2 linked regions of the Caenorhabditis elegans genome follow. The protein of the gene in region 1 purifies or fractionates together with the protein of each later gene. This does not show direct contact. Each region holds a gene or a part of one and is shown on either strand. Other genes may lie near its edges.

Region 1 (16,445 bases):
CCCCTTTCATTTACATCACTGTCACTTTTCCGACCCCTCTGCCGATAATGATCAAGAAATGGGGGAAATTACTGGAAAAAAACGGTTTGATGGAAAGTGTAAAGAATCTTGGAGGTTTCTATCGTTTCTCGTGATAACGAAAAAGTGTTACAGTAGTGTGGGCGGGATTAATGGTTCAATAAACAACTTGAAACCCTTAGTAACCAAATATCTAATGACAAAACTATTGATATTTTAATTTGAGGACTGTAGGCCTACAGTAATCTTTTTGGTTTTCAAATAGTTTACACAAAGCACCTCCAGCTTTTTCACTGATAATATAAAAATTTCATGATCAAAAGACAATTTGACCTCCACATTTTTTATAAACATCAGAACCTCCATTCCTGTTTAATTTTGACCTACTGATCTAGCTCTCAATATGTTTTGTTCAGGAATCTCTTCGCTTTCAATCAACTCACTACAGCAGGGATCTTCATTATTCTGTTGTCTATAATCACTTTCATCTTTGCCATCACACCAACTATCAAGGCGACTTTTCTGGTTAGTTAATAATACAACTTTAAAAGATTTAATTCAAAATTTTAGTTTTCCTTATTGGTCGTTGGGACGCAAATCGAAGTGGCTGCATTGGTCCACTTATTCTCACTCGATCACCACCAAATCTACACTAATTTGGCACTTTTTGCTGGTAAACATAAATATGAAAATTTTAAATTTTAAACTCGTTTTTCAGGTTTCCTCGCCGCCTGGGATCCGTTTTGTGCTTTATTGCGATATCGAAGACGAATTTTGTACAAAAGTGAAACTAGACGAACCCCTGAGTTGGCATCAAAGAGACGAGTTCTTTTGCCAATTGTTGCTACAGCTGATATTGCTCAATTTTTTGTGTTACTTATTACAGGTATGATTTAGATTCAGTTTTGTGTAAACTAAAAATGTAAATTAAATAATAACACTAAGAAATATAGGGCAATCTAGAGCAATGGTGAGTGGCAATTATTATCTGCAATTCTACCAAATGGCATATTATTGCACCATGTTTGAAAATTAGTGTTAAACTATAGAAAATCACTTAATTTATCTGAAAATAACATTTATTTCAGTTGAAACATTTGAAAAGTGCATAAACATTACCTGAAAGTTGCAAATTGCCTATCATCGATCTTTTTTCAGCAATCGGCAACTTTCGAGCCATTTTTGCATTTTCTAAGACGTTTCAACTGAAACACATTTTATTTTTAGATTGAATTTTTTTTCTATATTTTCGCAGTAATTTTTTAATTAAAAAAAAATGTTAGAAAAACATGGTGCAATGGGACATTTTGTAGATTTTCCGAAGATCAGGTTGATCTATTAGTAAGGATTGAGTTTTCCTCCCCTCCCTCTTAATTTTTCTTTTTAAAGAATTTCCGAAGCGTGAAGTAACTTGTCAAAATTGGTGGCCATTCAGCAGTTCTCGGTCATCAATTTGTTCATTTTTCTTCCACTCACATCCGTCATCCATTATTCTTGCCACCTTGTCCATTTTTCGCCAATATATATATTTATTCTCACTTTTCTCTTTCTCTCATTCATCTTCCGACGTTTCAAATAAGAAGTCCCGAGGTTACTGTAGATGTATGAGTTGCTTTTCAATCTTTTTTCAACGTGTGTGGCCTCAAGAGCATTGGAACACGGCCAACAATGAAAAAGGGACACAAAAAGAAAGTGGCTGCTAGCTTTGGATAGAGACCTCATTTATCACTTTATTCTCTTGAGGAATTCAATGAATATGTGAAACTTGAATAAATGTTCTGAATTCTTTGATTTTTGAACATTATAAAACACACATAGACTAAATAGAATTCACCGTTCTCATTGGATTCCAGAATTCTACCGTAACCATGAAAATGTCAAATGACTGATTAGTTAACTACTATAACTCTGCAAGTTTCATTGAACTCTCATTTCATTTTTCATATTACAAATTTCAAAAATATATATCTAGGATTTATAAAAGTTTAGACTATGTTCATTCGTTCCTAATAAAGTACATTTGAAGTCGGGCGTAAAGCACAAACAATTTTTAGCTGTCACAACCCACTCTCAACCCTACTGCCTTTCCTTTCTTCTTCTCTCTCGTCTATGCTCCGCCCTTTCCGTCGGTTTTCTTCGTCGTAGTTCTAGTGTCTCGACATGGTGGCATTCGTTCCTTGAAAAGAAAAAGAATGTTTCGTATTCATGAGACGAGAGAAACTGAAGTAACAAAAAAAGGGGTATGAACTCGAAAAAAGAAGGAAAAGGAGACCGAAAATGAATTGATGGTGATTAGGAGCTGTGGGGGTTGTGTCTTGGAAGAGGAAAAAACCAGTTGAAAATGAAGCTCCAGGAGAGATGAATATAACGCAGAAGTGAAATTTTGCGTTTTTTGCTCCAAAAATACAGTACTTGGACTTGGCACGATAAATATTTCCTACATGCGAACAGATGTGCGGCTTTGAATATTACTGTAATTTGAAACTCGTTGCTGGTTTAAGGGAAAATTCGCAGCAGGGAAGGTTTGAAGTTACAGTACTCCTCGAAATTACAGTACGCGCACACATGTTCGCATTTAACTCAAAATTGACCGTGTCGAGACCGGGTACCGTATTTTTAGTGCAAATATTGCTAATGTTTGTATCTTTGTAATAGAAAAATTGTAAGAAATTACAATAACTTGAAATTTCAATCTTTGCAAAATAGTAATTTTTAAATATGTATATTTTCAGCGTTCTCCATACTTGCGATCATCTGCTCCATCGTTCCCGAGCTCAATATATTCTTCGTACCTACAGTAATCCTCATTGTCATTCAAATTGTCGCTGTGTTCAATTCAATCATCGTTTCAATTGCAACAAAACAAATGTTTGAAAGTGAAGTAAGTATGGATTCCTTTTCAATATTAAGCCCATCAGATTTGGTCGTCTAAGTCGGGATTATATTCAGTTTCTCTGGCAGCAGCAGTAGTTCTTCTTTTATAATCTCATCTTCATTCTAATATTCTCACATTCTTTTCAGGTTCGACACTATCTTCATAGAGACTTGCGGGGCAGCACTACCGCTGTCCGGGTCTACAATTTGGTGCAGAAACAAAGACTTGCTTCATCGTTAGACGAGCCTCAGGTCGAGCTGGACGAATTCTCAATCAAACGATCATCTCCTCCCTGCCGATATTATGCTCCACCACCAAAATATTCATGTAAGAAAAGAAGTCGATCATCTGATGAAGACGAGGATTCTGACCCAAATCAGCCAGGACCATCCAATCGTAGAAGCCCCAAAACCGGCAATAAACGTGTCAGAGGAAATGGTGATAACACTGAACTTTATATTCCAAATCGTTATGAGCTCATTGTTTCTGGAAAGTCAGTAGGCGGTAACACTAGTGCTGCATGGAATGGGGTAAGCTATCATTTCCATCAAAACTGTTATTTTTGAAACAAATTTTCAGCCTGGAAGCACTTTGGAACAAAATATGAATGCTCTTGAGGAATGCTTCGAATTGGGAGTTGATGAGTATGATTTTGACGAGCATGATGGGGATGAAGGTTGCGAACTGGTTCAAGATATGCTAGATCGAGAAAGAAATTTGATGAATAAAAGATCTACGGCACAGAGAAGGGAATCTCGAAACATTGAAAAGATGAAGAAGTCGCAAGAAAATTTGGACAAAGAAAAGAGTGAAGAGAAGATCAGTGAATCGAAGAAGAATCAGGATGACAGCATAGAGAGTCCGAATCTCCCAGGAACACCTGCCAACCTTCCAGTTGATGAACCACTTCCACCAGTTGGTCGATTGTATATTGTGGAGCATGTCCTTCCAGAAGAATATCGGCGAGATCCATTAACCGAGCCACCATCAATGGAAGATTGCATTCGAGCTCACTCTGACCCCAACCTTCCACCTCATCCGCGTGCTGATCAATACCCAGCCTCATTCACCCGTCCAATGGTTGAATATTGCGAAGATATTTACTGGACACACCGAACTGGACAGCTACCTCCAGGACTTCAAGTACCCCGTCGACCGTACGATTATTATCACATTACCGAGCGTACACCACCACCGGAAGATCTCAACTGGGTCCCACCAGCCGAATCCCCACCGATCCCGATTCCTCAGCAAGCATTCGATTTGCTAGAAGAAAGAAGACGAAATCATCGTGAGCAACAAGATGAAGCACGGGAAGGCGACCTATCAGACCCAGAGGTTTAAAATGTCTGTTTCCTTTTTCAGAATTTGGTTCCAAAATTTCATTTCTTACTCATTTTCGTTTCTATTATTTGTACAATTTCCATTTCATTATTTAATTTCTTATCTACTCATATCTACTCATATTTAATTTCTTATCTACTCATATCTAATCGTCCACTCGACCTCAACTTGTAATCTTTACGAATTTTGTTTTCTTGTTAATAAACGTAATAAGTTTAAAACATTTATTATAAATCAGCAATACTTAAATGCTCTGGGCGTCAAAACAATGACAAATTTGAATTATTTTCAAAAATTAGGAAGTGAGAAAGAGCACGGACCTGCCGGTGGATTCCAACATATTGAAACGATGAGAAAGATGAAGGAATTGTGGAATAATGTAACAAAATTATATTCTACCGGACAATGAAAAAGTGAGAGAACCTGCACTAATATTTAAATATTTGGAAGGGGGAAGGCTATTGAAAAATGCAATGAAATGAGTGCTTAAAATTGAGATGCGCTGGGTGGAAGTGCGATACAGTTTATGAAAAAGTATTAAGATTAAGGCAAAAACATGGAAGGAGGGGCGAATTGGTAGGTGAAAAGGCACAAACAATTATAGGGGGATTATTATAATTTATATTACAAAAAGGATTTGAAAATAGGATACGATGGAATTTAAATACAACGAGGCGTTTGAATAGCTTATCAATATATTTTCTATATTTTCGAGAGATTTTATATACTTAAAAGTAAGATTTAATGCCGGTCATTTTGAGGACGAGAGGAATGTTAGTGATGGAAAATAGGAAGGTAATATATTTTTGCAACTAAATTCTTCCAATTTGTCAAGCGATAAGAAAATAAGTTGTGAAGAATTTGAATTCAATTTAGCAGTATGACGCATTTAATTAGCTGCAAGCTTTGTGGCGCCATATTCCCCGTCATCAGGTGCTTCCTCTTTGATAACTGTTTTTTCCTCGAGTTCTTCAACTTTTGGTGTTGGAAGTATGTCACCATTAGCTTGTTCTTCGTCTTCTTCTTCTTCATCTCCAATTTCAACATCTTCTTCATAAGCCAATTCACTATCATTCAGTTCATCAAGTTCTTCATCATCTTCATGTGAATCTCCATTCAAAAGTTCACCAGAATGACTAGGACCCGGAATTGATACTCCAAATCCACGTTCAATCATTTCTCGTTGTTCAGCAGAATGATTCGATGTTGCAATTGCACCTTCTTTATACATTTCCGCCATCTGAAACAATTAATTTATGCAAATACATATCGTTTTAATTTTGAATTTTGATATTTAACAGACTAGGTATGTAATTTTTAAATTCAATTTTCATAAATAACTGAAGCGCTGACAACTATTCCAACTCACCACCGTGTTGAGTAGTGGAACATGGTCATCCCCGTTCAACAGTGCATCTGATGTATCCCCAACAGGTGGCGGACTGATGTTTTTCACCTCAAATATCAAATATTTTCGATGGAACTCAAAAACCCTTTTTTGTTTAGCATTTGAAATTTTTTCATAAATATTTTAAGACAAAATTGAAGGAATCAGCGAAGATTTTATCTAAGGTAGGTAGGAAGTTTACCTGCTGGAAAGGCGTCGGTTCATCAATGTTTCCACCGAGTCGACTTCTACGACGTGCATTCATGAAGAAGTTGGCAACTGTGGAAAGATCAAGACGAAGATGCTCAGCAATTGTTTGTTGCATTTCCCGAGATGGACGTTGAGTTTCTTTGAAGATTGCTTGAAGTGTACGCTTCTGTATGTCGGTGAATACGAGACGAGGTCGTTTTGATACAGGTCCATCATGATCGGAAGTAGATCTTCTGAAACTTTGGAAAAACTTAGAAATTGAAATTTTTTAAACTATGTATAAATCAGTTTGTATGAATGCATAAGTCTATTGGAAATTGTGGAATTCTACTAGAAATTTTTTTAAAACGTACCTATGTGTGCGCACATTCTGTGCTGGAGTTGGTGGTGACATTCCAGATGCTCTATTCACATCTTCTGTCTTCATATCAAGAATCGCCAATCTCGTTGCTAATGGCTGTGCAACCCAATTGTACATTCGACGGAATGTCTCACGTCCTGATTTCAGCTTATTCCATGGTTTTGGATTGCGTAGTAAATCAGAAAGAGTTCCCTGACTACGACACAATATTCTTTCGGCAAAAATGGCTTGTGGAATCGAATGATTTTTCAGCTCAAATGCTATACGTTTGCAAAGATCTTTTGTGTCTATATATATATCATCGCCAATCTCTGCATTCAATGGATCATTTGAGTCTTGAGTCGAGTAGATGCGACGTGGCTGAGCAATATGAGCAGATGGTGGTGTTGGAATATTGGAAGAAGAGATTGTCGGCGTTGAGATGACTGATGATAGAGCTTGATTGAGCAAACCTAGAGGCTTTTTTTGTTTCCGAGAATCTAAAACATACGGGTAAGTACAATTAGTGAACGAAAGGTAAAATGAAACAATAAATTTAGGAAGGGGAAGGTAAGTTCAAAAACAGAACATAGGTTAACATAATGGACAAAAAGCAACTCACTTCTTTGATATGGAGCTTTTTCATATTCCATTCGATCACCATTTCTTGGCTTCTGGTAACCCTGGTGGTTTTTGGAAAAACCCATAGATCCTGGTGACACGCCATCCTCATTTTTTATTAGTTGCCGTTGAATCATTGGTGTTGGATCGGAACCGAATGTACTGCGAGGAGATGGAGATTGTCCAATTGTGTTGGTGTGATGATCCTCATTTAACAACGATGAGATGCTTCCGAGATCTGTTGACCTGTCATTTGTTGGTGTATCTGGACGAATTCCTCCCATTAGTAGATGACTTCCATCGAGATCTTCCTCTTCCTGAAATTAAATCAAAATAATAATTATTAAAATGAAGATTTTTGTTTTATTCAGAAAAACATAACATTTTAATTTTTGCTTTTTACAGTTTCCAATTTTTTTTAAATAAAAACAGCGTTTTGAAGTACCTTAATATATGGTGAAGTATTGAAATCATGGGATTCTCTTCGCCGTGAATCTACATGAAGTGGAGAGAGAAGTCCAGCAGTGCTTCCAGAGAATCTGTAATCTCTGAATAAAAGATTTTATGAACTAATTTCTAATAATTATATAACTTACTCAGGTTCATTTTTTATAGTCTCGTAAGATGATGAAAGAAGCGAAGCACTTGAAAAGCTACTACTCGGTTGTTCAGAACTCATACTCATTGGTGCAAGTGAGGCGAGTTGTGGAGCCGAGGATGTAGCTGGTTCTTCGGTTGCAGAAGTTGCAGAGGATGTACTGGCAGATGGAGTTATTGGATGTGGACTGATTGTGTCAAGAAAGTTTTCCGGAAGCTCTTCAGCAAAACCCCGACCGGTGTTATTTATAAAAGTACTTGAGGGATCAATTTGTAGATAATCAGTGTTTCGTCGACGCGATTTCTCAGTTCTGAAATATTATAATTTGATTAAATCAACTCATGGATTCTCTTACCCATTAGTGGATGTTGCGGCGGTCCGTGATGACTCCATTTTTGTTGAAATTTGATAATTTGAACTTCAGTAGTGGTTTCGATGACGCTCAGAAATATGTTGATTCTGAAAATATGTTTACTTGATAAGAGAAAAAATTTTCAGCACAAAAATGAGTTAAATTGAGTGGTATTGTATGAGTTTGGCAGTTAAAAAAATATATTCAGTATAACAGCTCAAACTTCCTGAATCGGGAATTTCGTTATTCGAAACACAACACCAAGGGGAAAAAACGTTGAAAAATACAATATTACAGAGCGAAATTGAAAATTTTGAGTTTAAATCAATTTTTTGGTCAACTTTCAAAAAATCGATAATTTTGAAAAAAAATGATATTGATTTGTATTGAAAGTGGGAGAACATACTAGTTGCGACTAGACACCGATCGATACTGATGGCCACAGGGAGAGGGAGAGTGTGGCCGCGCGTTGTTTGTCCGTCTCTAGTCGTTTGCTGGTTATGTCTGACACTCACAATACTCCATACTATCTAGATTTCTTTGGAGTCCCTGCACATGATGATGGGGTCTTACAACGAATTGCCTGACAGAATGTAGACAGACATTAAATGGAAATTGAGAAATGACGGTAGAGCATGTGCATTTACGAGAAGCATGTCAGAGAGCGAAGAAGGAAGAAGCATAATATAATATATTACTGAATATTTTAGCTTGATATTTTTTGAATAGAGCAAAATTGGCAGCAATTTAAAAAAAAAATTTTTCTCTATTTTAAAAATCAAAAATAAATTTCTTGAACCCCAATTTCAGAATGAACACAAACTTGGCGGAGTTACCTGTACGAATATTTAAAATTTTATCAGAAGAACTTCAAAAAGATAACATTTGGATTAAAATTGTGGAATTCGATGAGGACCCGATTTATTATATGAAGTGAGTTTTAAATTAAATTTAAAAAAATAATTTTTCTAATAAATTATCTTTAGATCCACAGAAATTGAGAGTTTTTTGAAGAGAGAAAAATGCTGTGAACAAGTGCTCAGAAAATGGGGGAATCGCGGACAAACGGTAATTAAAGAAAGAAAATCGGAGAAGAAATTAAATACTTATTTCAGGTTGGAAGCTTACTAGCGAGATTGCAGTTTCTTTCAAGAACATATGAAGATGAATTCGATTCAATTCAATTTCATTTGCGACGAAAATTCAGTGAGTATTAAAAATAAATCCAAATAAAATTTAAAATAATTCTAATAAAATAATTAAATGTTATTTTGTCCGAGAGGAGTTCATGTCATGAGAAAGCTAGTCCATGTGTGATTTTCTAGGCCACCATTCAAGCGGAAATTTAAAAATATCCATTTTAAGAGCCTCTACGGTGGATACCTGATCCGGAACAACAAGTTACAAAAGAAATTGACGAAGGAAATATTAAATTGGAATGCAAAGCTCAAGGATTTCCATGTCCCGAGATAAAATGGTTTACAAAAGGCTCAAAAGAGCCGGTGCATATTGGAAGAGTTTACACAATTTTAAGGTTAAAAAAGAAGTTTATAATAAATAAGACTGAGATTTTTAGATGTAAATGCTCGAATGAACATCAATATAAATGTGTAGCGAAGAATGAGATTCGGGAAGGCTCACCATATTCGGAAATTTATCGAAAAGCTGGAAAACAATTTAGCTCAGTTATCGAATCAGAATATGTTGATGTAACATCTTGTATAAGAGACGACGAATGTTAGTTCACTTATTTCCAGAAAAGTATATTAACCTGAAATACTTACAGTATGTGAATCGTGTAAGAAATATGAAATGGGACGGTTGTCTCAAATTTTGGCAGAAGATCAAGAAAAGCCAGAGAACAAAGTTTCACCAGTTCGTCCAAATTTGGATATAACTCTTCGAGCAGCAGATAAAGTTGCACTTATTATGAGTAATTGTTCATATGTACATTTACCTGAATTGAGAACACCTCATTGTGATGCACAAACTTTGGCCGATGCACTACAGGTGACACTTTTTTGAATTTGGAGAAATATTTGAAATTCCATATCTGAATAAATACAATCATAATACTCCAAAATGACAGATTAATAGGGTATTTTAAAAATTTTCAGCCAAAGTTTTGGTAAAATGCCGAACTTACTAAACATTTTGGCTTGTGAAAACTGAATAATTTAAATGTTTTACTGGGAATAAAAAGTTTCAAAAATATTTAAAAGTATACAATTTGAGTACCACAAGCGTGATTTTTTAACAATTACCCCACTAGCACTACTCCTCCTTCAATAATTTTTTATTTCAGAAAATGAACTACAAAACAGTAACTCTCGCTGATCTGACACTTGATGAAATGAGATATTTTATTAGAGTTTATCAGAAATTGATTGGAAATGGAGTATACGGTAGGTATATTTGATTTTTAAAAATATAAAAAAGAACACTTAATTTAGCTGTATTCTATTTTGTTGGTCATGGATTTGAAGTGAATGGTCAATGTTATTTACTTGGTGTTGATGCTCCAGCAGATGCTCATCAACCACAACATTCAATGAGTATGGATTGGGTAAATACCTATAAAAACTATATTTAGAGAATCTAAATCCAATTCCAGCTTTTGTCAATTTTCCGTCATAAAACTCCTGATCTGAACTTGCTTCTTCTTGATGTCTGCAGAAAATTTGTTCCGTAAGTATTAAAACTGAATTCGCGTAACTCTGTCAAATTCGTTAAATTTAAAATAATTCGAAAAGATATTATGATCAGAACATTTTTATTTGAAAACCGGCAACAAATTTCTCAAATTCCACATTTGCCAAAAATTTGGCAGTATGCCAAAACTTTAGTATACGGTATTTAGAAAAATCGCCAGCTTGAACAGTTGAATATTTCCAGATATGATGCGATCAGTGCATTTGTGGAATATTCAGAACAATTCAAAAAATTCCATCGAGCCCATAGAAATATGGTTTATGGATACTCTACAAGCGGTGGAGTCGGAGCATATGAGGTTTCTTTTTCATTTGAAAAAAGTTTATAAAAATTGATTATTTTCAGGTTAAAGGAGAAGTGAATGGTGTCTTTATGAAATATTTGAAGAATCATGTTCAATTGGAAATATCTGTTATTGATATGTTGAATAAAGTACTATTAGGTAAGTATATGAACTTTTTCTCTGAGAACTATACACTATCCAAAGTTTCTACTCTGATTTATATTTTTTGCAGATATTGGGGATGATCAAAAAGTTTGTGATCTTCAAGTTCCCGAGATTCGAAGTACATTAACACATCCCAGAAGTCTGGCAGATCCATTAATATTCGATGGACATACTGCTTCATTTGATAATCATACTATACATTGGAGACTTATGCATGGTGAGATTTTTGATTTTTCTCTGGAACTTGTGTCTTCAAAATTGCATTAAATAGTATCTAGTTTTAGAAATTTTTGGAATTTTCAGAAGTTTCCAAAAATGTTGGTATTTTGAATTTTGAAATATTAAAATTTGGAACTTTAGAAAATTTCCAAAGTAGAAGGTTTCCTAGCATTCAAATTCCAGAGAAATGCTGATCAATATTCATAGGATTTTTTTTCAAAACTGACTATTCAATTCAAAATTGAACTGATAAAGTACTATTTTTCTTCAATTGTATAATATTTTCCAGAACTCCCAACGCCTGCAACAATTCGTTTTGAAACTCAACAATTAGTCGCTACGATTTGGTTTCAATTTTGTGGAAATTTCACAAACAAGGTTTCTAGAAAATGTCCTCAATTCTTTAAAGTATAAAATATTCAGGTTTACGTATTCGCATCAATATCAGACTTCCGTCCTTGCCAGGAAGACACCGATATGGGAGAAAATGAAGAATTAAGTGAAAATGCATTGAATCATCGAGCATTTGTTGAATTTCCTGAAGAGCTTCATTGTTCTGATGTTCGAGAATATAATGATGATGAAGAAGGTGTCTCAATGTTATGGATTCTATCAGGATTACAAAAAATCAAGAAAGAAGCCGGATTGACATGTGAAGTTCATTTAAGACACGTTGATGATCCAGAGAAGACGATTGAGATGAAGAATGTTGATATTGGTCATATTTTGATTACAAGAATCAAATGTCTACAGTAATGCATTGCCATGTGAACACCTACGGGTCCGAAAATCCATTATTAATTATTTTTGCCAATTGAAATGTAGTACTAATGAAACGAAATCTCATTTATTTTACAATGAATAAAATGCGTAAAGTAATGGTGTATGAATTAATATAAAACGAATAAACCGATGGAAGGAGAAAAAAATGAACGAATACGCCATCGTGAATGAATGAAACAGACAAAGCAATGGGAAAGAAACGACAAAAAGGATGAGAAAGAGATTTTCGCGTCAATATATAGAGAAAATGATTGGACGGTGTGGAGAGAAGAGATGCTTATTTAGAGATGGTATTGTGGGTGAAAAAGCTCGATTGTGTAACGCGGCGAATAGTACATGAATATCACCGATGCCTATTAAAACAAATGGAGATTTTATGAACCCTCCGGGGGCATAAAGGGGCGTGGCAGTAACAGTATTCTCTGCGCAACGCGTTTTTTGAGGTAGGGAAAATTACGGAAACGGATTTGGTTTTTGGAGATGCTACCGGAAAAACAAAACAAGCCAATGAAAACGGCAAATAATTGGACAGATTGGAAGATGATGAAAATACCAGACAACTCAACCTAATTGGGGATCAGGAGAGAAAGAGGAATCGGCTAGAACGACTACACACTTTGAAGAATTCAATAGAAAAAAAAAGAAAAACGAGATGTTTAGAATGTAAGAAAAAAATCATATTATGAGTCAAGGAAATTGAGGAGAAGAAACACATGAGGTGGGTTATTATGAATATGATTAAAAGAGAACGGGAAGTGATAATAACGCAGAATAGATAATGTAGAATAACGTTTGTGAGAAACGAGTCAAAGAAGTGGGTAGCACAAAATGGGTCAAATTTTTTTGTGTTTTGAAAATTGAAGTGATTGAAAGTTTGAAAAAGCTTGCACAAGTATGTAAAACTATCTACGACAACTACGACGATGCACAGCCAGATGAAGAGCATAAAACGGCACAGCCGTCTTGCAAAAAATAATGAAGCCAACTGAAGAATCGAACAAATCAACGAGCAGTAGAGGTTTGAGACTGTTGGATTGAAGTAAGAACATGTAGTTTGTATGCATTCGAGAGTCCAGCTGTCCAGTATGAAACAACTTGTTGATCCTGAAAATAAATAAATTTTTATAATTCAGCGGAAATTGAAAACGCACCTCAACGCCGCATCCGGTGATGTGTTCGAATACTTGGGGATGTGAAAGCTGTTTGGTCATTTGGTAGCAGATCTTTGCTTTGAGCATCCATCCTTCACGTGTCGTGCGAAGTGCAGTTTCGAGAATAGTATCCGTCACATCTGAGTCGAGAAGCAAATCACGGTAGCGGTTCACGATACGGGGAAGTGGTCCATTCGATCCGTCATTCTCCGGACGACGACGAACTTCAATGACGCAGTTCACAAGCGACATTTGTTCGATATCAACAATCGAAACATCCCGTGGTGAAACACGAAAAACCATTACATCCGAAACTTCGAGTGGAATGTCCATGTTGTGAGGGCCTCCAATGAGATTGAATCGAGAGCTGCAAAAAATTAATATGAACGTATGTATATAGTTTGATCATTTGTGTTTTGATCCGATATCCTAAGGAGCAAATGTCTAGTCAAACAATGAATACATCATCCTTTCCGCCCGATGAGTACTACACCTTTGTCTGGTCAAACATGCTCATAACTAAGATGACCAAAGAACAAAAGTTCACCTGTATTCGGGCAGGTACTGTTCCTTGTATGTTGCCAATTTAATGCATCCAATTGGGAGTAAATTCGAGATGGCAAGCAAGAATTGACGGCAATATTCTTTTTCGCGCGATTCGACGACAACCTGAAAGAAAAATATATAGAAGTTTTTAGCAAAATTTAAAATTTTTCAAATAGCAATAAATTTCTGCGAGCGACAAAAGCTTCAAATCTAAACAATTTCGGAAATATTAAGAAGACTGGAGCAAAACGAAATAAATAAATCTTCCATTTTTTTCTTTCTACTACCGCTGACTCTTTTTCTTCCCTTTTTGATGCAAGTCTGAGCAAAACATTTTTGGAAACGTTACAGAGGAATAGATTTATTATGCATCTTCTTCTTCTTCTTCTCTTCCCACTTTTCAATTTTTCTATTCTCCAAACAGACTTATCTTGGTCCCTGACATCTGGTGGTTTTCTATTATTATTGCTGGCATAATGTTTTTCGGAAGGAACTCAAATACTTGACATAAACAGGGAATTTGGAATGGTAAAAATGAGTGTAGTTATTTGTGGCGTCCGCCTCATTCCACATCCATTATCCCACCAATAATGACATCAAAATGCGCATACAGTACCTATGAATACGGTTGATTCTCACGATCCGATCACAAATCACCGCTCCGTAGCTCGCCAATTCACAATAATGTCTCGGCGCGGGGTTCGTCTAACATTTTTACGAGTCTCACTTCTTGCGCTTAGGTAATAAAACGGAGCTTTCTGTCAAAGAGAAACGAGAATGCAGCTTGTTATTTAATTGCTACGACAAGGCTAAGGCGCTTTTAGAGGGGCACTTTTAAAATAATGTCAGCAAGTCACGAAAATTCGATCTTGTCGACATTGCAATTCAACAAGATGAGCTAAATAGAAAAAATATTTGCTTTATCTGAAAATTTGTTTTTTATTTAGTTGGAAAAATTGAAAAAGTGCTCAAAAATGTTCCGAAGGTTGGAAATTGCCGGAAAAAAAATTAAAAAAGAAAATTTCAACTTTCAGACAATTTTTTAAGAACTTTTCAATTGTTTCAATTTAAATAAACATTATTTTTAGATAGATCAATTTTTTTCTCTCACTAAATTTTAATGGAAAAATATTGGGAGAACATGACTAGCTCAACTTTTAGAATTTCCGGGGCTTTTGTAATTAGAAAAAATCAAATGAACTCTAGTTTATTATTTTTCTCTACCATTTTGTATGCTTTTTGGACGAAATAACCGGGATACGGTATTGATACGATTTTTCGTGGGCAAGTGCGATTTGATAAGATGATCAGAAATGCGCGTTAACGATACGGTCATTATAAAATCATAAATATTAACGCTGCGGTGGAGATTTTTCTGATTATATTATATTTAATTGACGAACCTGTCCTCCAGTGACAATATGACGAATTAAAAGATCCAGATCACCAGGCTCGCTGCAAGTATTTAGTTGAGTTGCGATGATCTTGAGATTCGCCAACTGGGCCATTGAAACCTGAAATCCAAACTGTCTGAATTGATGGTACTGTTCTTATAAATTCTCGGTCATACTGTTTTTTACTCAATTCCACCCATAAAATTCACATGGCTGACTTCTCTTTTTGTCAAAGGCTTATCCTCCGTTTACATTCAATCTAGTATTTAATAAAAGTTGTTCGATCTCAATAGTCTACATACCTTGCCCTTTATGGTTTCATTCTCGCAGCCTTCAAAATCATCTGGCTCAGTTGCAAGCGCGGACTCATTTTTTTCATGAACACGCATCATAAAAGATGGAGGAATGTTCTGAATTTCAATGATCAGTGGCATCTCTTCACGCAGAATTTTTTCGTTTTGAATAGCCACAGATGATGATACAGAAGCAATACACATACTCTTCAGTTGATATTGTACCGGGATATTGAATCGGTCTACTGCGTGCAAGTTTTCTGGCGGTGAGAATTATTTAAATGCAAGAGAATTCGGAAAAAGAGCAAAGGAAATAAAGAATATACTAATCAAAATGGCAACAAATACAAAATGACTGATTGTATGTACTCTCTGAGGTGAGAGAAATAAACAAATTTAAAAGGGTGGCGTCAATCAGTCTACACTTTGTTTTATAATCAAAATATACTCATTCTATAAAATGTCGAATGAATTTACGATGGTTTTTATTAATAGATAATTATTATCGACTACATTAAATTTGAAATAAAAAACAACATTCACGGAGCAGGCCCAATGAGTCTCTTTCGGCCACACAAGCAGGCATCAACGCACCGCCACGGCCGACTGAGACTCGCTCGACCGGCCGATCGAAGTGAGAGGAGGACGTACCCGCCCCCTAATCGAGGCAACGACGAGACGGCGGAGAGCGAACGACGGATCGACGGCCGGCGGGCCGAGCGGGATGGGCGGAGTTAGGCTAGAGAACATGGAGACGAAGAGACGCAGACATGTCTCACAGAGCACGGCGATGAACAAAAAGAAGGGGAAATGAAGAGGTAGAGGCTTTTCAGACCATCTGGAAGGTTTTTCAAGTGCAAAGAGACATAGAGCTTATGCATGCGATAGAAATTAATTCATCCGATACGTCAAAAATGAGAATTTTGAGATATTAAAATTCATTCAGTCGTGAAAAATTATTGAACAAAAAATGTCTGTATCAGTCCTAGTCATCTGTGAAGGAGTTTCGAAATAATGCAGATGAGGGAGAGAGAGAGAGAGAGAACTGATAAAGAAAATGTGTGTAGCACTTTGAAGATAGTGGTCTCGAAACATTTGCTACGTATTTTTGTTGTGTTTCATCAAACGTTCTATTCGAAAATGCACAATTTCTC
Region 2 (16,929 bases), on another chromosome or scaffold:
TTGCTTTAAAAATTCGCATTTTCTAGGTTTTTACAGCAATTTTTTACCATTTTCTGTTGAAATTTCGCTTTTTTCAGGGCAAAAAAAAAAGAAAAAAAATCACTATAAGGGCTAAAATTACACATCATTTTTAACGGTTTTACAGTGATTTTTTACCCATTTTTTGGGTTTTTTTTCTAGTTTTTGTAAAAGTAGTGGCATTTTAGTAGCCCTTCTAAAGTGGATTTTTAGTGCTTTTTCCTAGTTTTTCGGGGAAAAAACCGCCATTTTTTCAAATTTTCAGCGAAAAATTGCAAAAATTCACTGAAAAAACCTCGAAAACACCGAATTTTTAGCCATTTTCGCACGAAAAATGCCCAAAAATCGGGGGTTTTTCCGAATTTTTTTCTTCAGATTCCGAACCTCTTAAAAAGGAGGCACGTATCCTGCTCACTGAGCGCATTTCTGACAAGAAAAGCGCCAGCAAACTTGACATTTGTTCTGATGAAGCTTATAATATTCTCGTCGAGCACCGAAGCCTGCAGAAGCCGATCGTATTGTGGATGAGTTATCAGAGCTGTTCGAACGAATTGAATCATCATATCTGACTTGGAAGTTCTGGAAAAATTTGCGTTTTTTTTACATTTTTTGGCGGGAAATCTGATTTGAAGAGGGGTAAGGCTCAAAAATTGGGTTTTTGGGCTTAAAAATGTGCATTTTTTAATCTTAAAATGCACATTTTTTAAGCTTAAAATGTGCATTTTTTAATCTTAAAATGCACATTTTTTAAGCTTAAAATGTGCATTTTTTAAAGCTTAAAATGTGCATTTTTTAAAGCTTAAAAATGTGCATTTTTTAATCTTAAAATGTGCATTTTTTAAGCTTAAAATGCACTTTTTTAAGCTTAAAATGTGCATTTTTTAAAGCTTAAAATGTGCATTTTTTAAGCTTAAAATGTACATTTTTTAAGCTTAAAATGCACTTTTTTAAGCTTAAAATGTACATTTTTTAAGCTCAAAATGTGCATTTTTAAGCTTAAAATGAGCTTTTCTAAGCTTAAAAAGGTGCTCAAATTAACGAATTTTGTAGTAAAAATCCACAAAAAATGTTCAAAAATTAGCTAAAATCTCAAATTTTGCCACTTTTCCATTTCACAGCAGTCCAAAGTTGTTTATTTTTTTTACGAATTACTGTTAAAATTCGTGAATTTTGCAAAAATCAGCGCGCCGCACAGAAAAATAGGCGGGGCGTGATTTCACAACCCTGCGGCACGGTTTTTTGCACTACCTTTTTGTGATTTTTTTTTCAATAAAATTGTGATTTTCCTTTTTTTTTCGAATGAAAGCATTTTTTATAGAAAAAAAAATCACCAAAAAATAGAGCAAAAACCGTGCCGCAGGGTTGCGAAATCAAGCTCCGCCTATTTTTCTATGCGGCGCGCTGATTTTTTTGCAAAATTCACAAATTTCACAAGTAAATCGTAAAAAGTTACCAACTTTGCACTTCTGGGAAACGGAAAAAGTGAGAAAATTTGAGATTTTAGCTAATTTTTTAACATTTTTTGTGGATTTTCACAACGAAATTCCTTATTTGAGCACATTTTAAGCCTAAAAAGACACATTTTAAGCTCAAAATTGCAAATTTTAAGCTTAAAAAAGCACATTTTAAGCTCAAAAATCTAATTTTAAGCTAAAAAAGCACACTTTAGGCTTTAAAAAGACACATTTTGAGCTTAAAAAATGTACATTTTAGGCTTAAAAATGCACATTTTAAGCTAAAAAAAGGACATTTTGAGCTCAAAAATGAACATTTGAAGATTAAAAAAGCATATTTTAAGCTTCAAGTATATATTTTAAGCCTAAAATTGGGGCAAATTTCTGCCAATAAATTCAATTTTAAGCTCAAAAATCCAATTTTTGAGCTGAAAAGAGCACATTTTGGGCCAAAAATTCAATTTTCAAGCTAAAAAAAGGCACACTGAAAAATCCACTAAATCCACAAAATCCACACTAAAATCCACAAAAATCCATTCCGTACGTCAAAGTAGTTCCATCAAGAATTCGATCAACACATCCTTCAATAACTTCATCTTTCAAATCCACCAGCGGCATTGTCATTCCATCACGAATATCCAGAGCCGTGTCAAGCTCCAAATCTGAGCTCACTTCTGATGGTGGAGCCGAGTCTGATGATTGAGACATTTGATCATCACAATCGATTTGTTTATTTAGTTCTTCTACTGGAAATTATAAAAAGGGAATTTAGTTGGGAACACTGCAACTTTTTCCTCACGAGGGACGAGGAAAAGTAGTTTCTAGGCCATGGCCGAGGGTGCGAAAATCTCGACTTTTTCACCAAAAAAGTTGAATTTTGAAAACCTCAAAACTTTTTCAGCGGTCTCGTTATGAAAATCAGGTAGCTTCAGCATCTAAGCATCATATGTATCATGTTTCAGAAAAAGTTTAGGTTTTGTATTCCCGTAATCCATCATATTACAATGCCCACTTTCACCGCTACTTGCCGACTGATAACATAATTTTTTAACTTGGAAATTGTTTTAGCATCTGCAAAAAATATTTATTTATCAGTTTTAATAAGAAAAAACGGGAAAAAGCTGTGAAAAACGAAAGAAAACAGGCGGAAAACAAAGCAAGATAAATGGCCGCTGAAACTTGTCGGCCCCCTCGGCCATGGCCTAGAAACCACTTTTCCTCGTCCCTCGTGAGGAAAAAGTTGCAGTGGGGAAATGAGAGATTTTTTTTTTCACGGAATTCTGGCTTCCCCCTCATAAATTGAAATGGAAGAGAGTTTGTGTGCCGAACTAGGCCATTTTAGGTCGGCGGAGAGATTTTGTGTAGATTTACGGCGCGTTGCGTGTCGCGTCGCGGCTCGATTTTAGTTGTAAAACTGAATGTATTTGTCCGTGTGGAGTACACGACACTTTTCCACGCGTTGCCCAGCAGGCTATTGTCAATGGAGCGCGAAAAATATGCATAAGGACGGCCAGAACCCCGTGTTTTGTTAAAACTAACACTCTGGAGCTGTCATTCCGGCGATCAGATCTGATTGGTACTCGGCGATGGCTGAAAAATGGGGAAATTTGAGATTTTTTGGGGAAAATTTGAGGATTTTTGGGCTAATTTTGAACTTTTTAGTGAAAAAATTGAGGAAATTTGGCCAATTTTCGAGGAAATTTGGTTTTTAAGTGGAAATTGAGGAATTTTGAGCTTTTCTTGTGAAAAATAGTGAATTTTGGGCTAATTTTCGACGAAATTAGAGTGAAAATTGAGGAAATGTAGACTTTTTGGAGATTTTCTGGTGAAAAATGTGAGGATTTAGACTTATTTTCAAGAAATTTTGGGATTTTTTGGTGAAATTGATGAAGTTTGAACTTTTTTAGTGGAAATTGGAAGATTTTGAGCTAGTTTTGAGGTTTTACAGTATAAAATATGAGAATTTAGGCTATTTTATGATGAAATTTGGGATTTTTCGGTAAAAATTAAGGAATTTTAAGATTTTTGGTGAAAAATTGGGGATTTTGGGCTAATTTTCAAAGAATTTTAGGCTTTTTTTGGTGGAAATTTGAAGATTTTGGACTAATTTTCAAGGAAATATGGGATTTTTTAGTGGAAACTTAAGGAATTTTGCGATTTTTAGTGGAAAATTGAGCTTTTTTGGCAGAAATTTGAGAATTTTGTCCTATATTTCGGAGAAAATTGGAATTTTTTTTGTTAAAATTTTATGAATTTTGGGATTTTTTGGTGAAATTGGAAGATTTTGTGCTAATTTTGGAATTTTCTAGTGAAAATTTTGAGGATTTAGGTGAATTTATGAAGAATTTTAGGATTTTTTGGTGAAAATTTAGGGATTTCGTTCGAATAACCCGAATTTTTGGTTAAAAATCTCGAATTTTCGTGATTTTCCGTCATTTTTCCAATTTTCCGTGGGTTTTCACAATTTTCGCACTCCGAAGGCTCCGGAATAGCTCAATTTCGATAAAATCTGGGTTTTTGGGCTAATTTCGTTCGAAAACCCCGAATTTTAGGTAGGTTAAAAAACTCGAAATTTCTCGATTTTCAAGCATTTTTAGCCAATTTTCCGTGGTTTTTTCAATTTTTCAATGATTTTCGCTCCAAAAAACGAGCACATACTCGGCTCGAGCTCATCAAAAGCCTGCATAAGCTCTTCCTGCATCTTATCACCAGAACACATTGAATAGATCACTGGCGTTGCTGATGTATTCTCTGGATCTACTTTAAGCCGCCATTCTCGAATAATTGGATCTTCTTGCTCGAGAGCTTCCATTCTGGGAGGGAGTTGTGTTGGAGCATTGTGCATTATTGGATAGAAAGCTTCAGCCATTCCTGATTCGTAGTCCTTTCGTTCACTGGAAAAATTGAGTGAAAATCGGGTTTTTTAGGCATAAAAATCTTGTGAAAAGCCGCCAAAATTTTGTTCATTTTTGCCCTTTTTAAGCTTTTTTCCGGGTTTTTTTTTTGGGGGGATTTTTGAGGGGGAATTGATGACATTCCAGTGTTTTGAAGATTTAAATCACTAAAATCGAGTTATTAGGCACAAAAATCTCATAAAAAGCAGGAAATTCGCACTAAAACCTGGGAAAAATTGGGGGTTTTTGGGGAAAAATTGAGAAATTTAGGTGAAAATCGGGGTTTTTAGGCTTACATTCCTGATTCGTGTAGTCCTTTAGCTCACTGGAAAATGTGGGGATTTTTCGAGCAAAATTGAGGATTTGCGATGATTTTTGAAGTTTTTTTTCGGATTTTTTATTGGAAAATGAGGAATTTTGAGCTTTTTTAGTGAAAAGTTCAAAAATTTTGCCATTTTTAGTGAAAAATTTGAGCATTTAAGCTAAATTTTCGAAGAATTTTAGGTTTTTCTGGTGAAAATTGACTATGAGAAAGCTCGGGTTTTTAGGCATAAAAAGCTAGAATTGGCTCCAAAAACCCAAAAGAAAGGGGGATTTTTGGTGGAAATTGATGAAATTACAGTGAAAATCGGGTTTTTTAGGCATAAAAATCTTATAAAAAGCGGAAAATTTGCTCAGAAAACCCAAGAAATGGGATTTTTTTCGAATTTTAACGGGAATTTTTCGTTTTTTACGTTTTTCCCTCGAATTTTCGCGAATCATAAGTAAAATTGAGGATTTTTGGGGTAAAATTGGGTAATTAGTGTGTGAAATCGGTGAAAATGTGAAAAAAATCGAGTTTTTTCATGGAATTTTCTCGAATTTCCGTACCATCCCAGCTCCCGCATCGCTTTCGGCAACGGAACCACCGAATCATGAACTTCTGGCCAATGATCCGTATTCGCTTCACACCAATCCACAAAACCCGTCCGATCGATGCCCTCCACCACCACCGTCAATCCCCCCGCCGCCGCTTTTTGAATAAAATCCGGTGCCGTCAGCTTTTCGACCTGATTTATATTGTTGCTGACGATAATTCTCGCAAGCATCGCCTCAATTCGGTGCTCAATTTGCTCGGCGGCAAAAAGAAACGTGGCGTACGGATGGGAGTACACGTCGCTCAGATTTTTCGGCGGTTTTGGACGAAGTTCCGGCTCGAGATCGGGCAGGCGCCATACTATATAAATAATATTCAACCGACGAATCACATCATCCCTTTCTTCAGAATGAATCTCAAAACATGTGGCAAGAGCCTGAAAAATGGCTAGAGAGCAGCGATTTGTGAATTGTTCGACGAATGTGTTGCCGAGAGAGTTGAAGGATTTGTTTGTGGTGCGAATAAAGCTGGAAATTAATTAAATTTCTTATTTAAACACTGATTCTCAATAAAAAAAAATACTTTGAAATATTGGAAATATCAGTTTCCGAGAAGAACAAGTCCTCGTCTCGCTTTATATCCTCCAGCATCTCGAAATCGTTTTCTTTTTCCTTTTTTTGCGACTCGTGCGGTGGCGCTGCAGCGGCACCGGTTTTCTGGTTCTTCTTTGCCTTTTTTTTCGTCATTTTTGGCTGAAAATTAACGAAAATTACGGAGAAATTGATGAAAATTGAGTTGAAAATGAAATGAAAAGAAAAAAAAACAGGGAAGCGAAAATAATGCAAGTGCGCTCTATCTGCACGCCATAGAGAGTACGAGACGCAGAGATCGTTGGCGCACTTTGTGATTTGTTGACGTGTTTCTCGTGCATGCTGACGCAATTTTAGTTTTTTCAGCATTTTTTTTTTTGAAAAAATCCATACATTTCCCAATTTTCAGCAAATTTTTCAGTGAAAGGCCTTTTTTTCCAAATTTTCAGCATTTTTCCGGAAAAAATCCATAAATTTCCCAATTTTTCAGTATTTTTACGGAAAAATCCATTAATTTCCCAATTTTTCAGCATTTTTCAGTAAAAATCCATAAATTTCCTCTATTTTAAGAATTTTTACGGAAAAAAAATCCATAAATTTCCCAAATTTTCAGCTTTTTTTTCGGAAAAAACAATTATTTTCCCGTATTTTTAGCATTTTTCAGAAAAAATTCATAAATTTTCCATATTTTCAGCATTTTTTAAAGAAAAAATCCATAAATTTTCCATATTTTCCATATTTTCAGCTTTTTTCCAGAAAAAATCCATTAATTTCCCAATTTTTCGGTATTTTTCTGTGAAAAATCCATAAAATTATCAATTTTCAGCATTTTTCAGTAAAAATCCATGAATTTCCCATGCTTTCAGCTTTTTTTTTCAGAAAAGATCCAAAAATTTCCCAATTTTTTAGCATTTTTCCGGAAAAAAAATCCATTAATTTCCCAATTTTTCGGTATTTTTCATTAAAAATCTATAAATTTTCAGTATTTTTCAGAAAAAAATCCATAAATTTCCTATATTTTCAGCATTTTTTCGAAAAAAAATCCATAAATTTCCCATATTTTCAGCATTTTTCCGAAAAAAAATCCATAAATTTTGCAAAATTTCAGCATTTTTCTGAAAAAATTCATATATTTCTCGTATTTTCAAATTTTTCCAGAAAAAACTCCATATATTTTCAAAATTTTCAGCATTTTTCGATGATAATTAAAAAGAAAACAATGCAAGTGTGCTCTATCTGCATGCCGTAGAGAGTACGAGACGCAGAAATCGTTGGCGCACTTTGCGATTTGTTGGCGTGTTTCTCGTGCATGCTGACGCAATTTTCGATTTTCAGCATTTTTTTCAGAAAAAATCCATAGATTTTCAAAATTTTTCAATAAAAATGCACCTTTTTTTCAGAAAAAAAAATCATTTATTTCCCAAATTTTCAATATTTTTCTAAAAAAAATTCATTATTTTGTTCAATTTTTCAAATTTTCAGCTCTCACAATGTCCTCCGTGCTCAGGCTGGCGATGAGAGCTAAAGGTTTCAGTCGATTTCTAGCAGAAACCCAGGCGTTTCCCGTGAAAAATCGACATTTTATGACGTCAAGTGTGCGGAAAACTGGCGATTTTGAATATGAGGCAGGCGGAATTTGCGGAAAAAATTAAAAAAAAAAAGGAATTTTTAGGATCCAAAAAGTGAAGACGAGGTGGTGAATATCACCTACGTGTTACGGGACGGCACGGAACGAAAAATTCGCGGAAAAGTCGGGGATAATGTGATGTTTTTGGCGCACAGGTAGCAAAATGAGCAAAAATATTGGGATTTTTTTCTAAAAAAAAAACGATTTTATTACAGATATGACATTGAAATGGAGGGAGCTTGCGAGGCATCACTTGCCTGCTCGACGTGCCACGTCTACGTCGATCCAGCCTTCCAGAACAAGCTCCCGGAGCCGCTAGAAGAGGAAGACGATATGCTGGATATGGCTCCGGCGCTCAAGGACAACTCACGGCTCGGCTGTCAAATTGTGCTCACGAAAGAGCTCGACGGAATCACTGTAACCCTGCCGACAATGACACGCAACTTCTATGTGGACGGGCATGTGCCGAAACCTCATTAATTTCAATTTTATTCTTGTGATATTCATCATTTTCTATTCAATTTCCTGAAAATTTCGAGTCTTAAAACGAGATTCGGGTTGTATTTTTTCCTTGTTGCTCAAAATGTTTAGAGTTTATATTATTAAAAATCGCGCTCGCTTTTGACCTTTTACTCGATATATTTATGTTGTAATTTCTCTGCGTCTCCTCGTTTTCGCACGATCACTCGCCGAACAGACACCCTCCAGATGCTGCTCTGGGCCCCCAACAGCCGGTCAATCAGGACAACTTTTAACTTTCCACTCAAATTGACCACTGAAATGCTGCGTTTATTGATTTTTCTCATATTTCTAGCCGATTTTTCGCTTTGCCAGGACCCGAAAGTCACTTTTGAGGACTATTTTCAGTTTGGAAAAAATGAGTATACGGAGAGAAATTGGCCCGATTGTGTGGCTTTTATGAAGCGAGCAATTGATGATTTTAGGTGAATTTTTGAGTGGTTTTTAGCTTGGAAATTGGAAAAATTCGAAAAAATTACAGAAAAAACCCTGGAAATGTCTTTTTTTCGGCTAAAATAGGCGAAAAATCACAAATTTCCCGCAAAATTAATTAATTTTCAGGAAAAAGAAATTTTTTAGCAACGTCGCTCTATTGAGAAAATATTTCGGCGGGAGTTTAAAATTCAATTTTGTGGTTTTTTCGAAGAAAATCGCATAAATTTGATCGAAAAACAGTCTGAAATAGCGAAATTAACCCAGAAAAATCGCATTTTCACTGAAAAATAATTAAATTTATAAAATACCGCCTATGCAAATTCACTCTATTGAGAAAATGCTTCGGCGGGAGTTTAAGATTTAATTGTTTGGTTTTTTCGGAGAAAATCGCATATATTTTAATGAAAAACGCTCTGAAATAGCGAAATTAATCCAGAAAAGTTGTGTTTTTCACTGAAAAATAATTAAAAAATACTGCCAGTGCAAATTCGCCCCATTGATAACACTTTTCAGCGGGAGTTTTGAATTTATTTGTTCTTTTTTTAGCTTTTTTGAAAGTAAACTCGTGCTTTGCGTCATTTTCTAGTCTGAAATAGCGAAATTACCCAGAAAATTCGTGTTTTACACTGAAAAATAATTTAAATTCTCTCCCATGCAAATTCGCCCCACTGATAAAATCATCTTTTTTTTCTAGACAATACCAAGACGACGTGGTGAGTTGCCGCAGAAAGTGTAACCGGCAGATCAAACCTGCCACGTCATCCTCGCCAAAAATCGCAAAATTCCACGAAACAAGTGAAACTGCACTGTGTCTTTTGAGATGCCGGAAGGACATGTTCGGAGGTAGTGATGATGCATGTGCACTCCATTGCTAAAAAAAATTCCCCCGAATTTCAGATCATCAATCGATAAAGAAAATGTCAGTGTACCATGATTTAGAGGAGCGCAAGCCGTATCAGTACATGCATATCTGCTATTATCATCAGGGCGAGCTTGCGATGGCCGTTCAATCGGCCTACACGTTTTTGGTCGCAAATCCGGATGATAAGGATATTAAGCAAAGTTTGAATTGGTACATGAATCGCGATGGATATTCGGATGATATGCTTATCGATATGGAACGGAAAGATCATGAGGTTCGGGGCTTGGGGGTCTTGCAACGATTATTTAAATAAATGTTTGGAGTTTAAAGGTGCATTGTGAAAAATCACTGAAAAATCTTGAAAACTCCCCGAAAATTGATTAAAAACCCTCGAAAATCAATAAAATTTCGTCAAATTATCCACTTTTTTTTGTGATTTTCCGAGATTTTTAGGCCTAAACTTAGGCCTAAAATATGTATAATTCAAGCCAAATCCTCCCAAAATAATGATTTTTTGAGATTTTCTCAGTTTTTTTCCAGGTTTTTATCATTTAATTCTGCTTCAGCTGGCTTCACAACCATTTTTCAATTCTCAAAGCAAAATTTGAGCTAATTTTAACTAATTTTGTCAAAAACTGACCTCCAGACTGCAAAAATCTTGAAAAACCACGAAAAAAATTGGAAAAACCTGCAAAATTGATTGAAAATCATCAAAAATAGAGAAAAATTAATCGAATTATCCACTTTTTTGTGATTTTTACCCACAAATTGGCCACTTTTCACAGGGGCTTCTGGCCTTCTCCACACGGACAAGTACATTTAGTTTTTCGAGCCGCAACGCGGCACGCAACGCGCCGTAAATCTACCCCAGATTTGGCCGAGCTAAAATGGCCTAATTCGGCACGGATTTCTTGCTTCCCTCATAAGTTGAAATGGAAGAGTTTGTGCCGAACTAGGCCATTTTAGCTCGGCCATATCTGGGGTAGATATACGGCGCGTTGCGTGTCGCGTCGCGGCTTGCTTTCAGCTGTGAAACTAAATGTATTTGTCCGTGTGGAGTCCGGCGGGCGATTGTCAATGGAGCGCGAAAAATTCAAAAATTCAATGAGGAAGGCCAGAATCCGGTGGCCGAGTTTTTCTCACACCTCACTTTTCTAGGCCAAATTCATCAACGGCGTCGAGGCCTACGACCAACAAGACTGGGGTCGATGTGTCAACGAATTCGAGTCGGCGCTCGAAAAATCGATAATTCAAGACGAAAAGTGTCGGCTGCTCTGCCAGGATAAAATCGATTGGAGCGTCGTTGACGGCAACCCGGAAATCGATATTTTGTTGGCAAGTATGAGAGCTTCTGTGATACGCTGTGAGCACAACTGTCTGTATAAGTTGGCGAGGATCAACGGGCATTATGTAGGACATTTGTTTGCCGCGCACTTTGAGTACCTGCATTTTTGTCATTTTAAGAGTGAGTTTACCGCCTAAAAAAATTCAAAATTCAACAAACAAAAAAATTCCAGTGCAGCGGGGCGCTGAAGCGGCTCAAACTGTCGCCAATTATCTCCTCTTTGACGACAGCCCATTGATGAGACGAAATCGGTATTTCTACGGGAAACAGTACAAAAAGAATGAGCTCTTCACGCCGAGCCAAGAAGTTTTGGATATTTATCGGCGAAGAGACCTTGAAGCCCGATTTTTAGAGTTTATGGAGAAGCGATTCGTGGTGAAGGACGGCGAGGTGAGTCGAACCCGCGGCAGCCAAAAACTGGTTGCGCGCGAGACAAAGCGGTAACCGACTGCGCCACGCATGCATGTCCAAGCAACAGAGAAACCAGTGTGACATGGTTGTGCTTATAGTTAACTTATAGTTAAGTTGGAAAATTGCAGCTCCCACCAGAACAAGCCGACGACCGTAACCCGTTATCACTGGATATCCACGTGGAGGATAACTTCCCATACGAGCAGATTCCAAGTTTGATGACGTCATCAGAGTGTAAAATCCTCCGCTCAGCGCTGGACACCAGAGAACGGGACGGGTTTGTGAAGGAGTTGGAGCAAAGAGTCAAGGTTTTGTTTTTTTCAAGAAAAAGTCTTTAAATAATCCCTAATATTTCCAGCTCTGGCCAAACTCCTCATATTCCAATGTGACCTGTGGGAGCCCAGTCCGTGAAGCCCAGTGCTCCAGAGCCATCGTCTTTTCGGCGGAGCACAATGACTGTGGAGAATGGCTGGGCAAATGGTTCAACGGATGTGCTGTCGTGTTTTGTGATGAGAAGAAGATTATTGATTGATTTTTGTGCACTTTTTTTGACATTGAAACTAATTTATTTTGTTAATTTTTAAAAATTGTAATACCAAAAAAGAAATCCAAGAGTTATGTAGAAAAGATGAAACAGACAATTGTTTTATTTTCAAAATTTTTATTAAAATTGCACTGTTTCACTAATTTCATATAAGGATTGAAATTGTTAAATAACTAATCGAAAGGTTGTAAAATTGAAAAAAAAAACATTGACATAATTTTCAAATGGTTTTTAGTTGATTTTTCAAAAAAAAAACTTCTAAATACAGTGAAAAAAGAACAATTTTGCAATTCTGGTGCTCAGAATATTAAAACTATTTATCGTTTGAATTTTCAGAAAATGCTGAAACAGAAAAATGTTCAAAATTATTTTTTCCAACTATTTTCAAGATGTGTGTAAATCAGTAAGTTGTACGCAAATCTGAAACCCAATAAAATAATCTCACTTAAAAATTACAATTTCTAAGTTCAATTTTTCCTGTTTCACGCATTTTTTATAAATTCACTATCACAATCTGCAATATTCTCGTTTCTTTTTGCTGATTTAAAAAAAAATAAACTGAAATATTAGTGATAATACTAGTTCTAAAAAAGTTTTTAAAAGATGCTATATTAGAATAAAGTCGTGGAAAAAAAATTTATGACAAAATTTTAAACCGAAATTTTTTCAAATCTAAAAATTGAATTTTTCCTTGTAATGTAGGTAATGGATACGGAATAGACCTGACAAAAATAACAGATCAATTTTCAAACGGAAATGTTATAGGAGAAACGCTTAACAAAATAACAAAAAGTACGAATTTTTAAAATTTCTTTTTTCTGCCCTGAAACGGTTGATTATGAATTTTAAGACAAAAAAATCCCTGTTTCATGTTTACAATATTTTGCTAGCTCTTTTTTGAATTGTATTAAACTGGGTTTTTTCTATGGCAAGAATGATTGAAGCACCATTAGTTTTTGAGGATCCGGGTGGATTTTTATTTATAAATTAAAAAGGAAGTTGTGTGTTCTAAAATGCTTCAACGACATCTCGCGGGTTTCTCATGTTTTTGAAGGTTTTTCAGGGTGAGTGGGGGGTGCTTCCTTGGAATATTTTTTAAAAATAAACTCGTGAATATTCCAATTATCCTAGGTTTGCAAAATGAAAAGAAGAGAACAGCGTACAAGGAGAATTTCGTCTAACATAGATATAAAAGTTCCAATTTAGAAATGCAAAAATTGAAACAGTGATTTTTTGAAACTTTTTCAAAAATTCACAGCTATTCATTCAAACTCAAAATTGGTCATTGTGAGTTTATATGAAAAATACAAAAAAAACAATAATTTGAAAATGATTGTTGAAAAATTGCAAGGTTTCTTTGAAAAAGTAGTTAAACAGAAATTATTTTTAACTACGCTTCATTGAAATATTCTTCTTGATTCTTTTTGATAACGTTTTTGATGACGTTTTTGTTCAAATTAAATTTAATACAGTGCACTCAAGTTCTATAGGACTCCCCAAAAAATAAATCCAAGAAATTCAATGAAAATATAGAGTTTTTCAACATTTTTCTAAAATTTCTTCGTTTTCATGCGTGTTTTGAATTTTGAAGTTTTTCAAAATCTGTTTTCAATATCTTAAATTTTGCAAATTTTTAAGAGAAGCTAAAAGGCTAGTTTTCGTTGAGTTTGGCTATGTTCAAAATTTATCTTCAAAAATTACAATTTAATTAGTTCGGCAATTCTAGTTAAAAAAATTTTGAGAAAAAAAAGAAAGAATTTGAAAATATTTTACAATTGCCGAATCGCCGTTTTTCTGTTTGGCTTCCATGTTGGATAATGTTTCTGATCTACACTTTTGTGTTATTTTCAAAAAAAAACAATGCTTCATATTATTTTTATAAGTTTAACTGAAAATTATATAAACGTTTATAGGATAATACCGGATTTCTATTAAAAATGCTCAATGTTTAAGATATTTTTCTGTCTTACAAACTGAATACTTTTTTTTTGCCGAATCCCAAAAATTCTACACCCCTTGAAATTAATAGCTCCATCTTAAAGGCTAATATACAAAAACCAAAACTTGGATTTCAATAGTGTAACAGTTTTTGAGTTTTGCTAATGATCTAAAATTGTTTCCTTGATTTGTTCTCTCACCAGTTTTTCTGTGTTTACCTGAATTTTCAGAAATACCAATTAAAAAAAAACATTATTTTTTACTGTTTCTAAAACACGATTTCAGATTGCCTAACTTTGAACAAATCGTTCGTCAATTCATACCTTGTTAATAATATGAATAATTGATTTCTGCATTTTTAAATTCGTCTAGAAAATTTGGTTTATAGGTAAAATAACCCAAATACATTTTGTTTCGAAACTAAATATCTACCAGTTTCAGTTTGCAAAAAATCTGTTTTATATCAGACATACTAATGTTCATAAACTGCAAGGTTTTTTTTGAATATGTAGTGAAACATAAATAATTTTGGGAAATCTCGACAGCCAAATAACTTAATTGTTTTCTGTCAAAAAATCATCATTAACTATGATATTAAATATTATTGCTAAAAAGTGCGTATTCCGTCTGTCTATAGTGTATTGCCTGTGACGTCACACTTCACAGAGAGCAGCTGTGCTGGAAAACATGCGAATTTTGGCCAATTAACGAGTTTAAATTTTTTAAATGAAAAGGATCTACTGGGATATTTTGGTAAATAAGTATTATTGTTTTACTTACCAAATACGACAGTTGCGGAATTTTAAAATTTTTGATAACCGGCTCTTTTCAAAAAAAAACTGCCAAATTGCAGAAGTATCGGATTGCCGTTCACCCCTAAAATATTGACTTCTTGTATCAGGAAAAAATATTGCTTTTTTTTGTACTTTAAAAGTACAAAATTTCGGAAGTTTTGCTCAATTTTTTTTGTAGTGTAACCGTGTTTGGCTAATAATTCAAAATCTTTTCTTGATTACCTTCTCACTAACGAACTAATGTTCATAAATTGCAAGGCTTTTTTGAAGAGGTAGTGAAACAGCAATAGTTTTGGGAAAAAAAATGGTTTCGATCTACGCTTTTATTTAATTTCAAAAAAAAAAGTTTCATATTTCTGTTTCACAAACTGAATAGGTTTTTGCCGATTTCCAAAAATTCAGCATTCTCAAAAATTATAGCTCCTCGTATAGGGCTAATGTATTAAAACCAAAATTCGGATTTCAATAGCGTAACAGAGTTTTGTGTAATGATCTAAAAATGATTGCTTGAGCTGCTCTTAACGGTTTTACTGTGTTTTACTGTTTCGTCAAAAATACTAATAAAAAACAAAATTTGTTTACCGTTTCTACGAGAGAATTTTAAATTGCCTGACTTTGAACGAATCGTTGCTCGCATGATATAATTGATTTCTCCATTTTCAAGTTCGTTTAGAAAGTTTGGTTTATAGGTAAAATAATTAAAATATATTTTGTTTCAAAACTAAATAACTACTGCCAGTTTAAATTTGAAAAAAAACCGTTTCATATCAAAATTTAGAAACATTTATATATTTCACATGCTCCATATAAAGTCTGAAACTGTTTTAAAAATAATATCGAAATTTTTTTAAGTTTAATAAACGAACTTGAGCACAGTGGAATAAAAAATATTTTTTACAAAAAAAGTTTCCAAAATACCTCTGAAAATGTCGAAAATAAAATTTTGAAATAAATTTTATTCAAGATGCCAAGTACACCGGAAAAATCCGTCAAAATTATATGAAAAATGTGAAAGTCGCAGAATTTCTCGAAAGATTCAAAAAAGTTGACGAAAAAAACACTGATTCACTAAAATACGAGTAGCAGTAAGCGTCTTGAATAATCAAAATTTAATTACAACTATAGAAACATTATCATTTGTCTGATTTTTCTTCTAATCGCTCATAAACTTTAATTTTATGCAGAGTTAAACTTATTTATCTGTCAAGTTAACCAATATCCAATGTTTGAAATAAATTTGTTTTATTTTTACAAAAATCACTGTTTCAATCTTAAGATTAGGTTTTAAGATCAATATTTGTACAATATTATTTTGAATGGGCGCAGGAATTTTTCTCCAAACTTCAAGAACAAAGCCAGAGGGTACGATGAATTGACGATGTGAGCGGACATCATCTGGCACAACGTTCTGAAACAGGCTATTGTCGAACAAAAACATCCTTTTATTAATTAAACTTTTTTGTAATTTGACATGCTAATAGATATTCAATTCTAATAGAGAATATTTGCAAGCCTATATAAAATCGATGGACTAGTGTTCATAAATTGCGTTTTTTCTTTAAAAAAAGTTGTGAAACAGAAATAATTTTGGGAAAATTCGACAGTCAAATAACTTAATTTTTTTCTCAAAAAATCATCATTGCCTATTATTTTAACTACTATTATTAACAAGTGCGTATTCCGTCTGTCTAAAGTTTATTGCCTGTGACGTCACACTGCACAAAGAGCAGCTGTGCTGGAAAACAGGCAATTCGGCAATTATCGAGTCCAATTTTTTTGTATCTACTGGGATATTTTGGTGAATACATATAATTGTTATTCTCACCCAACACTTGAAAATCTGAAAACTTTGATTTTCATTTTGACATTTCGACAGTTGCCAAGTTTGAAAATATTTGACAACCGGCTCTTTTACAGAAAAAAACTGTCAAAGGATTGCCGTCCACCTCTAAAATTATTGGCTTCTCGTAACAGGAAAAAATATTTTTTAAAAATACAAAAATTCGGAAGTTTTCTCAATTTCTATAGTGCAACCGAGTAAATAGAAAATTTTCTTTGAGTTGTTCTCAACGGTTTTGCTTTGTTCATTAATTGTCAAAAATACTATAAAAAATTACTGTTTCTAAAACACGATTTTCGATTTCCTAACTTTGAAATTGTTAATGGATCTGTAGTTTGTTTGTTTGTTTATTCGAAATTAGATAAATAGTAACAAAATGTAGTACATAGAAGATCAACGGGGAAAATCGAATAACACATAAAATAAGAAAGACCCGTCAGAGTCCACCGTCAATTCATCGTACCCTCTGGCTTTGTTCTTGAAGTTTGGAGAAAAATTCCTGCGCCCATTCAAAATAATATTGTACAAATATTGATCTTAAAACCTAATCTTAAGATTGAAACAGTGATTTTTGTAAAAATAAAACAAATTTATTTCAAACATTGGATATTGGTTAACTTGACAGATAAATAAGTTTAACTCTGCATAAAATTAAAGTTTATGAGCGATTAGAAGAAAAATCAGACAAATGATAATGTTTCTATAGTTGTAATTAAATTTTGATTATTCAAGACGCTTACTGCTACTCGTATTTTAGTGAATCAGTGTTTTTTTCGTCAACTTTTTTGAATCTTTCGAGAAA

What was found.
Region 2: the proteins of malt-1 (region 1) and Y73F8A.26 fractionate together in Caenorhabditis elegans (co-fractionation; one large-scale study listed by BioGRID). This does not show direct contact.

Annotation. Positions count from the first base shown.
Region 1 is NC_003280.10:6,943,411-6,959,855, reverse strand, and holds malt-1 (Mucosa-associated lymphoid tissue lymphoma translocation protein 1), read left to right. Parts: upstream 1-8,555; 5' UTR 8,556-8,556; coding exon 8,557-8,678; intron 8,679-8,731; coding exon 8,732-8,813; intron 8,814-8,860; coding exon 8,861-8,951; intron 8,952-9,110; coding exon 9,111-9,279; intron 9,280-9,321; coding exon 9,322-9,482; intron 9,483-9,531; coding exon 9,532-9,755; intron 9,756-10,050; coding exon 10,051-10,150; intron 10,151-10,198; coding exon 10,199-10,311; intron 10,312-10,359; coding exon 10,360-10,433; intron 10,434-10,640; coding exon 10,641-10,755; intron 10,756-10,802; coding exon 10,803-10,899; intron 10,900-10,972; coding exon 10,973-11,122; intron 11,123-11,413; coding exon 11,414-11,502; intron 11,503-11,547; coding exon 11,548-11,880; 3' UTR 11,881-12,001; downstream 12,002-16,445. Other genes in the region: tra-2 (Sex-determining transformer protein 2), read left to right, coding at 435-543, 589-691, 737-904, 2,751-2,899, 3,040-3,423, 3,473-4,237; ceh-38 (One cut domain family member), read right to left, coding at 5,127-5,477, 5,607-5,693, 5,827-6,073, 6,188-6,674, 6,797-7,112, 7,241-7,343, 7,392-7,703, 7,749-7,786; flcn-1 (Folliculin), read right to left, coding at 12,910-13,011, 13,059-13,425, 13,606-13,727, 15,008-15,130.
Region 2 is NC_003282.8:15,465,515-15,482,443, forward strand, and holds Y73F8A.26 (Leprecan-like alpha-helical domain-containing protein), read left to right. Parts: upstream 1-8,145; 5' UTR 8,146-8,219; coding exon 8,220-8,383; intron 8,384-8,802; exon of another isoform or gene 8,803-8,823; intron 8,824-9,087; coding exon 9,088-9,236; intron 9,237-9,290; coding exon 9,291-9,529; intron 9,530-10,413; coding exon 10,414-10,720; intron 10,721-10,772; coding exon 10,773-10,990; intron 10,991-11,139; coding exon 11,140-11,319; intron 11,320-11,369; coding exon 11,370-11,543; 3' UTR 11,544-11,998; downstream 11,999-16,929. Other genes in the region: ntl-11 (CCR4-NOT transcription complex subunit 11), read right to left, coding at 403-597, 2,017-2,218, 3,012-3,062, 4,131-4,366, 5,237-5,749, 5,805-5,968; fdx-2 (2Fe-2S ferredoxin-type domain-containing protein), read left to right, coding at 7,303-7,437, 7,485-7,594, 7,655-7,919.